Oryzias latipes: one gene and its partner. The main gene of each other region encodes a partner of the protein of the gene in region 2 in a complex. Links are inferred from orthologs where the notes say so. Each region holds a gene or a part of one and is shown on either strand. Other genes may lie near its edges.

Region 1 (4,755 bases), on a different chromosome or scaffold from region 2:
TGTTGTGCTCATTAAAATGAAAAAAGTTGTTTACATACTCAATTACGAACTGATTATATTTTATTTCAAACAAATATGCTTTAGAGGAAAAATGGAAAATATAAAAGGTAAAAAAAACAATACATATCCAAAAGTGAGTGAGACGAAATAAAAGTCTTATTCTAATCCCCCCCCCCCATGCAGTCCAGACTCAGACTCAGTCCAGATATCATATATAATCGATGGACACCCAGAGAAAATAGCAAACGCCAAATATAGTGGAGTGAGTAGTGAGTGACTTCATACACTTTGTTTTGTCAAAACTAAACCAGACAGGCAGTGGTGTGGATGATAACATTTATTACATCAGGAGTTGTACAAAAATGTAGAACAAAACGGGCAAAAGTGTGTCTCCATCAGAGGGATTTGGAGTAACGCCGCCTCACAGAGTCTCTGTAGAACTGGAAGATCCTCTCTGAGGCTCTCTGGCTGACCGCTACACACTGCTGCAGCTGCAACCAGCAGAAGAAAGACAAGAAACATCTGAGAGGATTGAAATGAGAGCTTAGCGGAAGATGATGGAAAAACGGCTGGACGGACCTCATGAACGGAAAAGGATCCTTTGGTGGATGACATCATTACTTTACGTTCTTTACTGTCGATGGCAAAAGTCATCAAAGCTCGACTCTCCTTTGAAAAGAAATTAAAATAGGACTTTAGTGCCAGACGGGCAGACAACCAATTTTAAAGGCAAACTGTTTTAGAACTGAAACACTGAGACAAAAGGATGAACTGAAGGTGACACACTAAAGAAAAACTGCATTTTTATGAAATAAAAAAAAAATAGTTTTGGTGGAAAATGAACCCATTTTTTTTTAGCAAAGTTAGAATTTTTATTAGCCTTTAAATTTGTTTATCCTCCCCTGAGCTGGAATCTGGATCTAAACTACACAGCTGGATTTTTGTTTCACCAGTAAAGTTAGGTCAGGGGTGTGATCTGATGAAAACCGACATCCATGTTTTAGGGATTCTATGAAATGTGACTTTTTTTCATGAAAATTAAACCATAAATTGAGAACTTTTTGTTAAACTTGCTTTCTGATTATATTTCTACATTCAAAGCAGCAAAAATGAAGATTTTCAGGTTAGTGTCAGCATCTTTGGTTGACCTTTTCCTGAGCTGAGGTGGGGTCAGTGATGATCTGCCCGTATGCGCTGATGGCGCAGGTCACGCCGCAGAAGAGGCAGCTCATCGGCAGACCTGCGTCCATGAGGGCCATGCAGGCTGCATTCAGGCAGCAGGACAGGAGCTGCAGAGCAGGTAAGGAAGACGACTCGGCAGGTGCTAGGCCACGCCCCCCGCGGGTTCAGAGGTCGGGTTTAGTAAAGGATACAGAGCCGTCGTCGTGCAGCACCTGGAGGACCAGCGTGAGCGAAGATCGAGGGTGGAGGGTGAGCAGCAGCGCCTCCTCGCAGGTTTCACGCACACACTGCTCCTGCGAGCGCTCCCTCACACCTGGAAAACAGAGGCATGATGGGATATGAGTTCAAAGCTGATAAGGAATCCACTGGCTCCCCCTTATGGCGTAATCCTATAAATCAGTTGCACAAAACATTCCTAAAGAAAGACTTTAATACCTTGATCGGACCTTTGTCTTAATGCTTATTTATAAATTGCAGAACTGTTGAGATACGAGTGAGCCTTCAGATGAAACTAAAACCCACATGAGACCTGAGGAAGTTCATCTTTTTACTGTGATTCAGTAGAAATAAAACAGCATCTGTGATTTCCATTCAACCCAAAGACATGAATGAAACCAGGCTTAAGAGGATATTTGCATATAAACATTTGAATCCATTGAAAGTGATTATAATTGTCTCTACATTTAACAGACTTCCTTCTTTAAAGCTGGATTTATTCATTTTAGAGCAACAAAAACAAGGATTAGTAGTTGTTTTTGCTTTTTTTCTACAACAGATTAAAAACAAAAAGGATTGAATTGGTTTCAGAAAAACCAGACACACGTGACAGCATCTGACTTTTCCAGGACATGCAGCAGAACTTACTCGGCAGACCAACTTTGGGCTGAACCAGCACCTCCAGAGTTGCTCGGTCGTAGATCTCCTTACTGACCTTTACTTCAGCAGGTCCATAAACTCCAGCCATCACACTCGTGTCCCCTCCAGAGACACAAAAACAACACAAAGATCAAAGTTCTATTAAAATAGAGGACAAACCTGAAACAATGATGTGATTTCTACATTCTTATTGTGTCTGTAAACTTTGATCTTGGCTATAAAACATAAAAACAGTGTAAATCTTGCAGTAAATGCATGACCAAATCTGCTGCTTAGAGTGGTGGTTTTGGTTCAGTTTCAGGTTTACTGTAGAATTATTACATAGTATATAATTCATTCATCTTCTAAACCCGTTTTGTCTCTTTCAGGGTCACAGGCCTGCTGGAGCCTATCCCATACACTATATTAAACAATATCTTGAAAAAAAAGAATAAAAAAGAAGATGGGGTCATATTAAAAAAATAATTTAAAGCATTACCCCAAAAAAAAACTTTTATAGGGAAATTATTAGAAAATCTTTGAAAAAATGTTGCTCCAAGACCCCAGACTATACAGTCCGATGCCGGCGATGTAAACAGTTCACAATGACCACTAGGATACAAATATTCAAAGATGATTTGGGGAATGAAAAAAAGAGGATGAGTAAACCAAGAAATAAATATTTAAATTTGAGAGAGCTGATCTGAACACAGAAAGTAAAACAGATGAATCCAACATTTCAACATCTTTATTTATAGAAAAATGACTAGAAATTATTTTTCAAATGTTTGGCTTCTTAATGGTTTAACAGCAGTTGACTTTTGATTACAAAAAACTAAATGTGAAAAGATAAGTTCGTAAAAATATTTAGTTATTATTTAGCTGCTCATTTTTGTTCTTGAATATTAACAATTTTACAACATTTACCAAGAGCTAAAACTAATGCAAAACCAAAATAAAGCAAATACAAAAAGTACTTTAGGACATTCTTAGCTTAAAACTCATTTAAAGATCGTTTGCCAGCAGTCGAGAGTCAAATTATTTCTCTGAAATAATAAGTTTGTCCATAATTCTTTGGGCGGAATCGGGAGTTGTACTCATATTCTTAAAGAAAAAAGTCAACATTTTCCTTCAGCTGTTACCTTGAACGAAAGACGCAGATCCATCCGGCCGAGAAAGTAAACTCTGCTCGCAGCCAAACTCTCGGAGAGAAACATTTGAAGGAGCAGAAACCTCCATCACGTTGCCAACACGGAAGGGGATGCGTCGCTGGACGATGACGTCATCTATTTACCGACGCGAAGGGGCTCTGCATCAAAACCAATGTTGTGTTTTAAATTTTGTGTTCAATAAAAAACAGTCAGAAAGTCAACAACAAAGTAAGTAGTTTAAAAAATATATTATTAACATTATTATTATTATTATTATGATTATTGCTATTGTTGTTGTTGGACACTTTTATTACGTGTCTTTATTTTCCATATAAAATGTATTTTTTACGTATGCCTGTCATTTAATTGGTGTCAGTATTTGACATAAAGACAGCAGGTAATGCAGGCAGTAAAACAGCTGCACTTTTTGAGATTAGACATAAACAATGGATCATTTGTTAATGAATGAATTAAGGCTTTTTGGAGAATTTTTACTGTTGGTGTTGCACAAAATTAGGAAAATGCCAAAATAAACTTTGATTAATTCCAGTGAGGAGTTATATGATTTAGTTTTTAATGTTTTATAAGACCTATAAATGGTTTTCATAATAGCAGTTTAAAAAAAAATCAAATCCCTTTGATACGTTTCACAAAGACACACACAGCACGTCACACAGCAAGCAGAAATGAACTTACTTGCTGACAAAAAATTTGACAAAACAGCAAATAAAACGGAATAATTTGAATTAAATATTTCCAGACTTTGTTTATTTTGTTCTGCAGCATGTTCATATTTGTATAATTTTGACTGAATATATTTTTATGGAGAGCACCGTTATTAACGGTTTAACTTGATTTATTCTGGATTAACAATACTGTCTGTTTTTATTCATTTTTATGTTAAAAAACCTCTGTTATAAAGGTTTAAAAGTATTTTTTGTTTTGTTTTTTAAAGTGTAGCTTTAGTTTGGTAAATAAATGTTGTTGGGCCCCCAACTTAAAGCATGTTTTCTGTTTAGGCCCCCTGTGTGAGTGAGTTTGACACCCCCGTAATACGAGCCCACAAAATTCACGCATCTTTTGTGTAAAATGGCCAAATAAAAATAGGGAACACAAAAGAACGTCAAATTGCACTGGGGAGTTACTCTCCCTGGGAGTAAGTTAGTGCAGAACCACCACTGCAGTCAATAATCAATGAATAATGTCAGAAATGATGATTTATATGTTATTAATTCTAAATAACGTTGTGACAACAGTTGCTATGGGGAACTGCCATATGGCACTTTGTGTAGCATGATAAATAATACATGCAGCACAGCTAATTCTTTCGCAGAGGGAAGAATTCACCGATAAATGAAACTATGCCTTCATGTCTGGATCAAAGTTTTATCAAAACTGCAGCAGTGGAGAAAGTGGTTGCCCCAATCTCCAGTCACCTTTGTCTCCTCGTGCTGCTGTGCGACAGTGAACATGAGCCAGAGCAGTTCACCCGGCTGGAGGCAGCGGCTCACGCTGTGGCCAGAGCTACTGAGAACATGGCAGCAGTGGCCTCCAGGTATGTGCATTC
Region 2 (5,029 bases):
TGAAGCCCATAGAGCAGGTCTGGGACAGCTGAAGCACAGACTGGATGATAGTCTTCTTTTGAAGGAAAAATACACTTAGACTAAGATTTATAGAAAATGTTAAATGTGCTTTATGTAAAAAAAAAATGAAAGTACACAGTAAAGTTTATTTCAGCCAAGAAAGCCAACTTTTTCTCTCTTCTTTCCCAGACTCTCTTCCTGCTGCAGCAGCTTCATGAGTGGAGCGTGAAGAGCTTTCCCGACTCGTTTGCCCGCCTGCACAAACAAAAGAACATTAACTTTATTCTGAAAGGTCAGGGTCGTTGAAAGGTCGTCTACTCTCACCTCTGTCATTTCGAAGATGCTCTCTGGATCCAGGCTCCCGCCGCCCACCTTTTTGACGCAAGTCACCGTGCCCCTGTGCGTGACGGCGATGATGAGGCTCGCCACCGAGCACGCCTTCTCCTGCAGAGTCGCGTCCACTACGTGTCTGTGGCCCACCTGCTCAACGACAGCCACTCTTCACAAACCGTCGCGTTTACGACCACGGACTTCACCTGCGAGCAGCGGCTCACCTTACACAGCGTCACGATGCAGGGAACATTTTCCACGCTCAGCCTCACGCAGTCAAACGGGTCGTCTGAAAGCTCCACCTCCTTCCCGCCTTCATCGTCCGACGACATGTGGACTCTAGGGATTCTGGGGGAGAAATGATGGGAGCACAGGATGAGCTGAAAACGTCTCCAAACACGACGAAATGTGAAAAACTGATACACACTTTGTGTTGAAGAGTGCCGCTTTGATGGCGACAGAGATGGCGTCGTACAGGTTGCCGTCACACTGCAGCAGCTGCAAACAAGACGATGCAAACGCCTTTATGAAGTGGTGGTTTTTACAAATCATTTGAGGCCTTTGAGGTGAAGCTCCGCCCCTTCTCAGGCCGCATTTCTTCTAACTGGCTGACTGACTAAGTAGACCTCACTTCCTCATTACACATCAGCTGCCTTTCAACTCATTTAGTGTTTCTTGAGTCCGACAAACCTCCTCCATGAAAAACAAACTGCATCCACTGCAGGCCGGTATGACTATTTGGGGTTTAAGGAACAAAAAATAAAATAAAATACATATTTCTTGATACTTTCACAAGTTGAAGTGCTACTATGGAGTTACATCAGTGTCTCTTAATTATTTTACCCAACTATGAAGAAATGACGCTTAAAATTAGAAAGAAAAAAAAACAACAGCATATAATTATGAAACTAGAATAAAAAAACTATAAACCTACAGTGAAAATGAAATAAAATTAATGTTTATTAGAAACTGGTATGTTTTTGTTAGTTAAACAAACGAAAAAACCAAAACTTCACTATATAAAACGGCAGCTGCTACAAATGAAGATCATTTTTTATTTGGTAACATTTGTAAGTTTATAGTTTTTTTAGTTTAAGTTTTAAATCTACAATCTTTGTATCCAATTTTCTGTATTTCTTCAAGTTTAGAATGTATAATTTCAAGTTTAACACCATTTCAAAACATTCTTCTTTTTCTTTTTTCAAGTTTACAACCTTATTTTTTCTTAATTTTAACCTGATTTGACCCCATCTGCTACCCCTCAGCAGCACAGCAGACATACTTCAGCATTTCATTTTTAATGCATACAAGGTAAACAAAACACTTGCTTAACTTTATTTAAAAAAAAAATCTAAATGCAGCAACAAGTTTTTCCTAAACAAACAAAAAACATGTAAATGTCTACTTCAACCTGTTTTTTTAACCCAATTTTTTACCCAAAATTCTAAAAAACTTAAAAATCATAAGATTTAGCATTATTACTGAATTTACGTCTATTGTTGTTGTGTTTATTGTTTTATTTTTAACATTTTTATGTTGTGTTTATATTTTTATGTTAAAGAGACTCACCAGGACATCTACATAGAGAACCCAGCAGTGCTCCCCAGCACTGATGCAGAGGCCCTTCAGGTCTATGCTGTTCTTGTTGTTGAAGACTCTGTAGAGAGTGTTGCTCAGCTCGATCCCTAGCTCCTCACCTCCTCTGCCTTCAAACTCGGGGGTGGCGTTGGCAGAGCTGGGGGTGTTGGGGAAAAAAATGTCAGGGAATCAAAAAAAAACATCAAACATTGACAATAACTCAGTTTGGTTCCGATTCTTAAACCAGAACAGCCCGGCATGGTCCTCATGAACACCCTCTACGTCTTAAAGCTGAATACCTGGATCAGGTGAGTTCAGCCAATCGGAATGAGGAGTTACAGAATCAGAAGAAAGCGGAGAGAAGTGGGGAAAACTGAGTCAATGGTGCAACAGTTAATCCCAGCAGTTATTAGTTTAGGAGTTTATTATCCTGCAAGATGATTTAAACAAAAACAGATATCCAAAATAAACTTTATTTTTAAAACATCCTCATTACTTTAAAATGCTTCGCAGGACAAAGACATCCTTCAAACTTCAAAAACAAACACAAAAAATATTTAAACATGCATTATAAGCTTTAGAACATGTAATGATCTCAACAAAAACATCAAGAGAGACTTCCCAACTTAGCCAAAAAGAAATCAAATATGTAACGGTTTAGGGTTCAGGTATTTCTAATATTTATATCAAGCCAAAAATGCAAACATTATTCATTTTAATAAACTATAGAGGCTATTCAATGTTTTTCTTTACTGTTTTGATGCAATACAATTCTGTCAAATGTCAAATTGTGCACATTTTGATGTCCAAACCTGCTTTAAATGCACACTAAACCTACCAATCAACAAAGAACTCCAGGTATCCTTCATCTGGAACCAGTGGTCTTGGTTTTCCTATTTCTGCTTTAATCCCAACCAGGACGGCGGTGTGTCCCTGAGAAGCACGATGGAAGGAAAATAAAGACACTGTTTCTGCGGATCTTTCACACGTAAATGTTGATTTTACCAGGGAGACTCTGGCAGATCCATCAGTGTTTGAGACCACATCCGTCTCCACTTCCATGTGTCGGTAGTCCTCACAGCTTCTTCCATCCACACGTAAATCATCCTGAGGAGAATACAAACATCCACATCTTTAGGTTGGTGTGACAACTTCACAGACATTTAGCTTAATAGAGCACACATTTCTAGAACAACTCACTCTTATTCCGTGTAGAATGTACACCTTTTCAGCCTCGCTAACTTTAACTGTTGCCATGTTAACTCAACAAACAGAAGAAGAAGAAACGGTGCCGGGAGGCTCTTCTTCTACAGTTTTCTCGATGAAGGAACTATGTCGCCACCACCTGGAAGAAGTGGGAGCTGCTGTTCAACATCACAAAATTTAATAATAATAATAATAATAATAATAATAATAATAATAATAATAATAATAATAATAATAATAATAATAATACAAAAACAATAATAATAATAAAATAATGACAATAATAATACATTTTTGAGAGTAATCTTTTTTTTCTTCTGTGTAGGAATGTAGATGCTTGTGCTATGTTTGTCCATATCATAAAGAGTATATAGACAGTTTTAAAATATATTTCTATTTAATTATATTCAGATTTTTTTATATTTATAAATGCACATATACAAAACAAGTTAGGGTGAACAATCGTTATAAATGCGCATATTGAAAAAACAAAACAAAATTTAAAAAATATGATAAAGGCAAGGCAAAAAACAATTCAAAATAACAGTACGTTTGATATATTTTGATAAATTACTGTAGTTTTCTTGTTTTTGTTTGGAATGCATTTAAGACACTTATAATAATCAGAAAAGTAATTCAAAAAATACCAAACAAAGGGCATGTAGTTTTCCATTTACATAAATGAATGAAATTTTTGCATTAAATAATAACAACATTAATGACATCAGAAATTCCTGGGTCCATATTTTCCATATAGAAAATAACAACAGATAAGGAAAAAAGGGAATATTTAAAACTTTGAGTGACAACCAATTGTGAATATCAGTCCAAAATATTTTTATCTGTAACTGTAACAGAGATGTTCTAACGTTTCAGTTTCAGATTAACAGAATAGGCATGGCTCCGATTGAAATTTGAATCTTTTATGTAAAAAAATCTCCAACAGGGTAAATTTGAGATATTATTTTAAAATGCGTTTCTTTCATTTTAGGTGGAAGTGGGTACTTTGTGTATAAAGAAAAAAATGTGTTCATTAGGGTGGTTTCTAAGTCCCGTCTATTGTTTATACTAAAGTTGCAGAAAGTTATTTGTTTAAAGGTTAGAGTTACTAATTTATTGGTGCATTTTTTTTTCATCTTTTAGGGGAATATCATTAATTTTCAGATCTGTAAATTGTGGTTTGATTGCATTGTATTGTAGTATGTATTGTCAGAAATATGATTATTTGGGTGTTTTTTGGAAGTACTTGTAAAAAAAATAAAATGATTTTAAATGGAAGAAAAATTGCCCTGCGTTTTGGCCAAAGGGGTGGATTTAATTTTAGACCATAATCTGATTGGTCAGTTTACAGGAAGTCCTTCCCGGGTTCTCTCCTGACAGACCATACCCAGGGCGAATCTACTAGGGGTAATCAAACTTCCTGGTTGGGTATGGGTGCGTTTTTATTCCTCCCGCAGAGATTTCTGGATGAGACCCTTCAAGAAAACATAAAATACAGTGACTTATTAAAGTTTAAGTCGAAGAACTAGCTAGCAAATTACCTTGTTAATTAAACGGAGACCAGAAACCAGGAAGAAGCCATTGAGTACACGCGTTAGCGGGGATTTAGCTAACGATCACAGCGGGCGGGGCGGACGTGGTTCGATTCCCTAAGGCTTCAGGAAACGTGAAATCTTCTGGATTCTTGACAACAAAGCTAAGAGGGTGACAGGTGGGTTGTTGAGCCAGAAAAAGGTTTTAGCTGTAAATGTGAGATGTGTGTTGTTGTTTTTGTGATTAGCTTCCAGAGCTCCCGCTCTTGCTGCCAGAGCAGAGGGAACTTCCGGGTTGACTCAACATCCTGTGGAGACGGTTCAATTAAAGTGATAATCATGGCTTCATCTCTGTTTTTGCCCATTTGATTGAAGCTCAGTCT

What was found. The genes of interacting proteins can lie anywhere in the genome.
Region 1: exosc7 (region 2) and exosc5 share a complex: the UniProt entries of both Homo sapiens proteins name them as parts of the RNA exosome core complex. The link is inferred for Oryzias latipes from reciprocal best matches to the Homo sapiens genes EXOSC7 and EXOSC5.

Annotation. Positions count from the first base shown.
Region 1 is NC_019873.2:26,312,276-26,317,030, forward strand, and holds exosc5 (exosome complex component RRP46), read right to left. Parts: upstream 3,323-4,755; 5' UTR 3,277-3,322; coding exon 3,180-3,276; intron 2,161-3,179; coding exon 2,047-2,160; intron 1,496-2,046; coding exon 1,374-1,495; intron 1,290-1,373; coding exon 1,149-1,289; intron 670-1,148; coding exon 580-669; intron 492-579; coding exon 396-491; 3' UTR 320-395; downstream 1-319. Other genes in the region: catenin alpha-1-like, read left to right, coding at 4,550-4,743. UniProt on the Homo sapiens protein: Non-catalytic component of the RNA exosome complex which has 3'->5' exoribonuclease activity and participates in a multitude of cellular RNA processing and degradation events.
Region 2 is NC_019869.2:5,727,441-5,732,469, forward strand, and holds exosc7 (exosome complex component RRP42), read right to left. Parts: upstream 3,248-5,029; 5' UTR 3,166-3,247; coding exon 3,109-3,165; intron 3,016-3,108; coding exon 2,914-3,015; intron 2,842-2,913; coding exon 2,747-2,841; intron 2,066-2,746; coding exon 1,900-2,065; intron 829-1,899; coding exon 758-828; intron 679-757; coding exon 555-678; intron 481-554; coding exon 325-480; intron 256-324; coding exon 151-255; 3' UTR 87-150; downstream 1-86. UniProt on the Homo sapiens protein: Non-catalytic component of the RNA exosome complex which has 3'->5' exoribonuclease activity and participates in a multitude of cellular RNA processing and degradation events.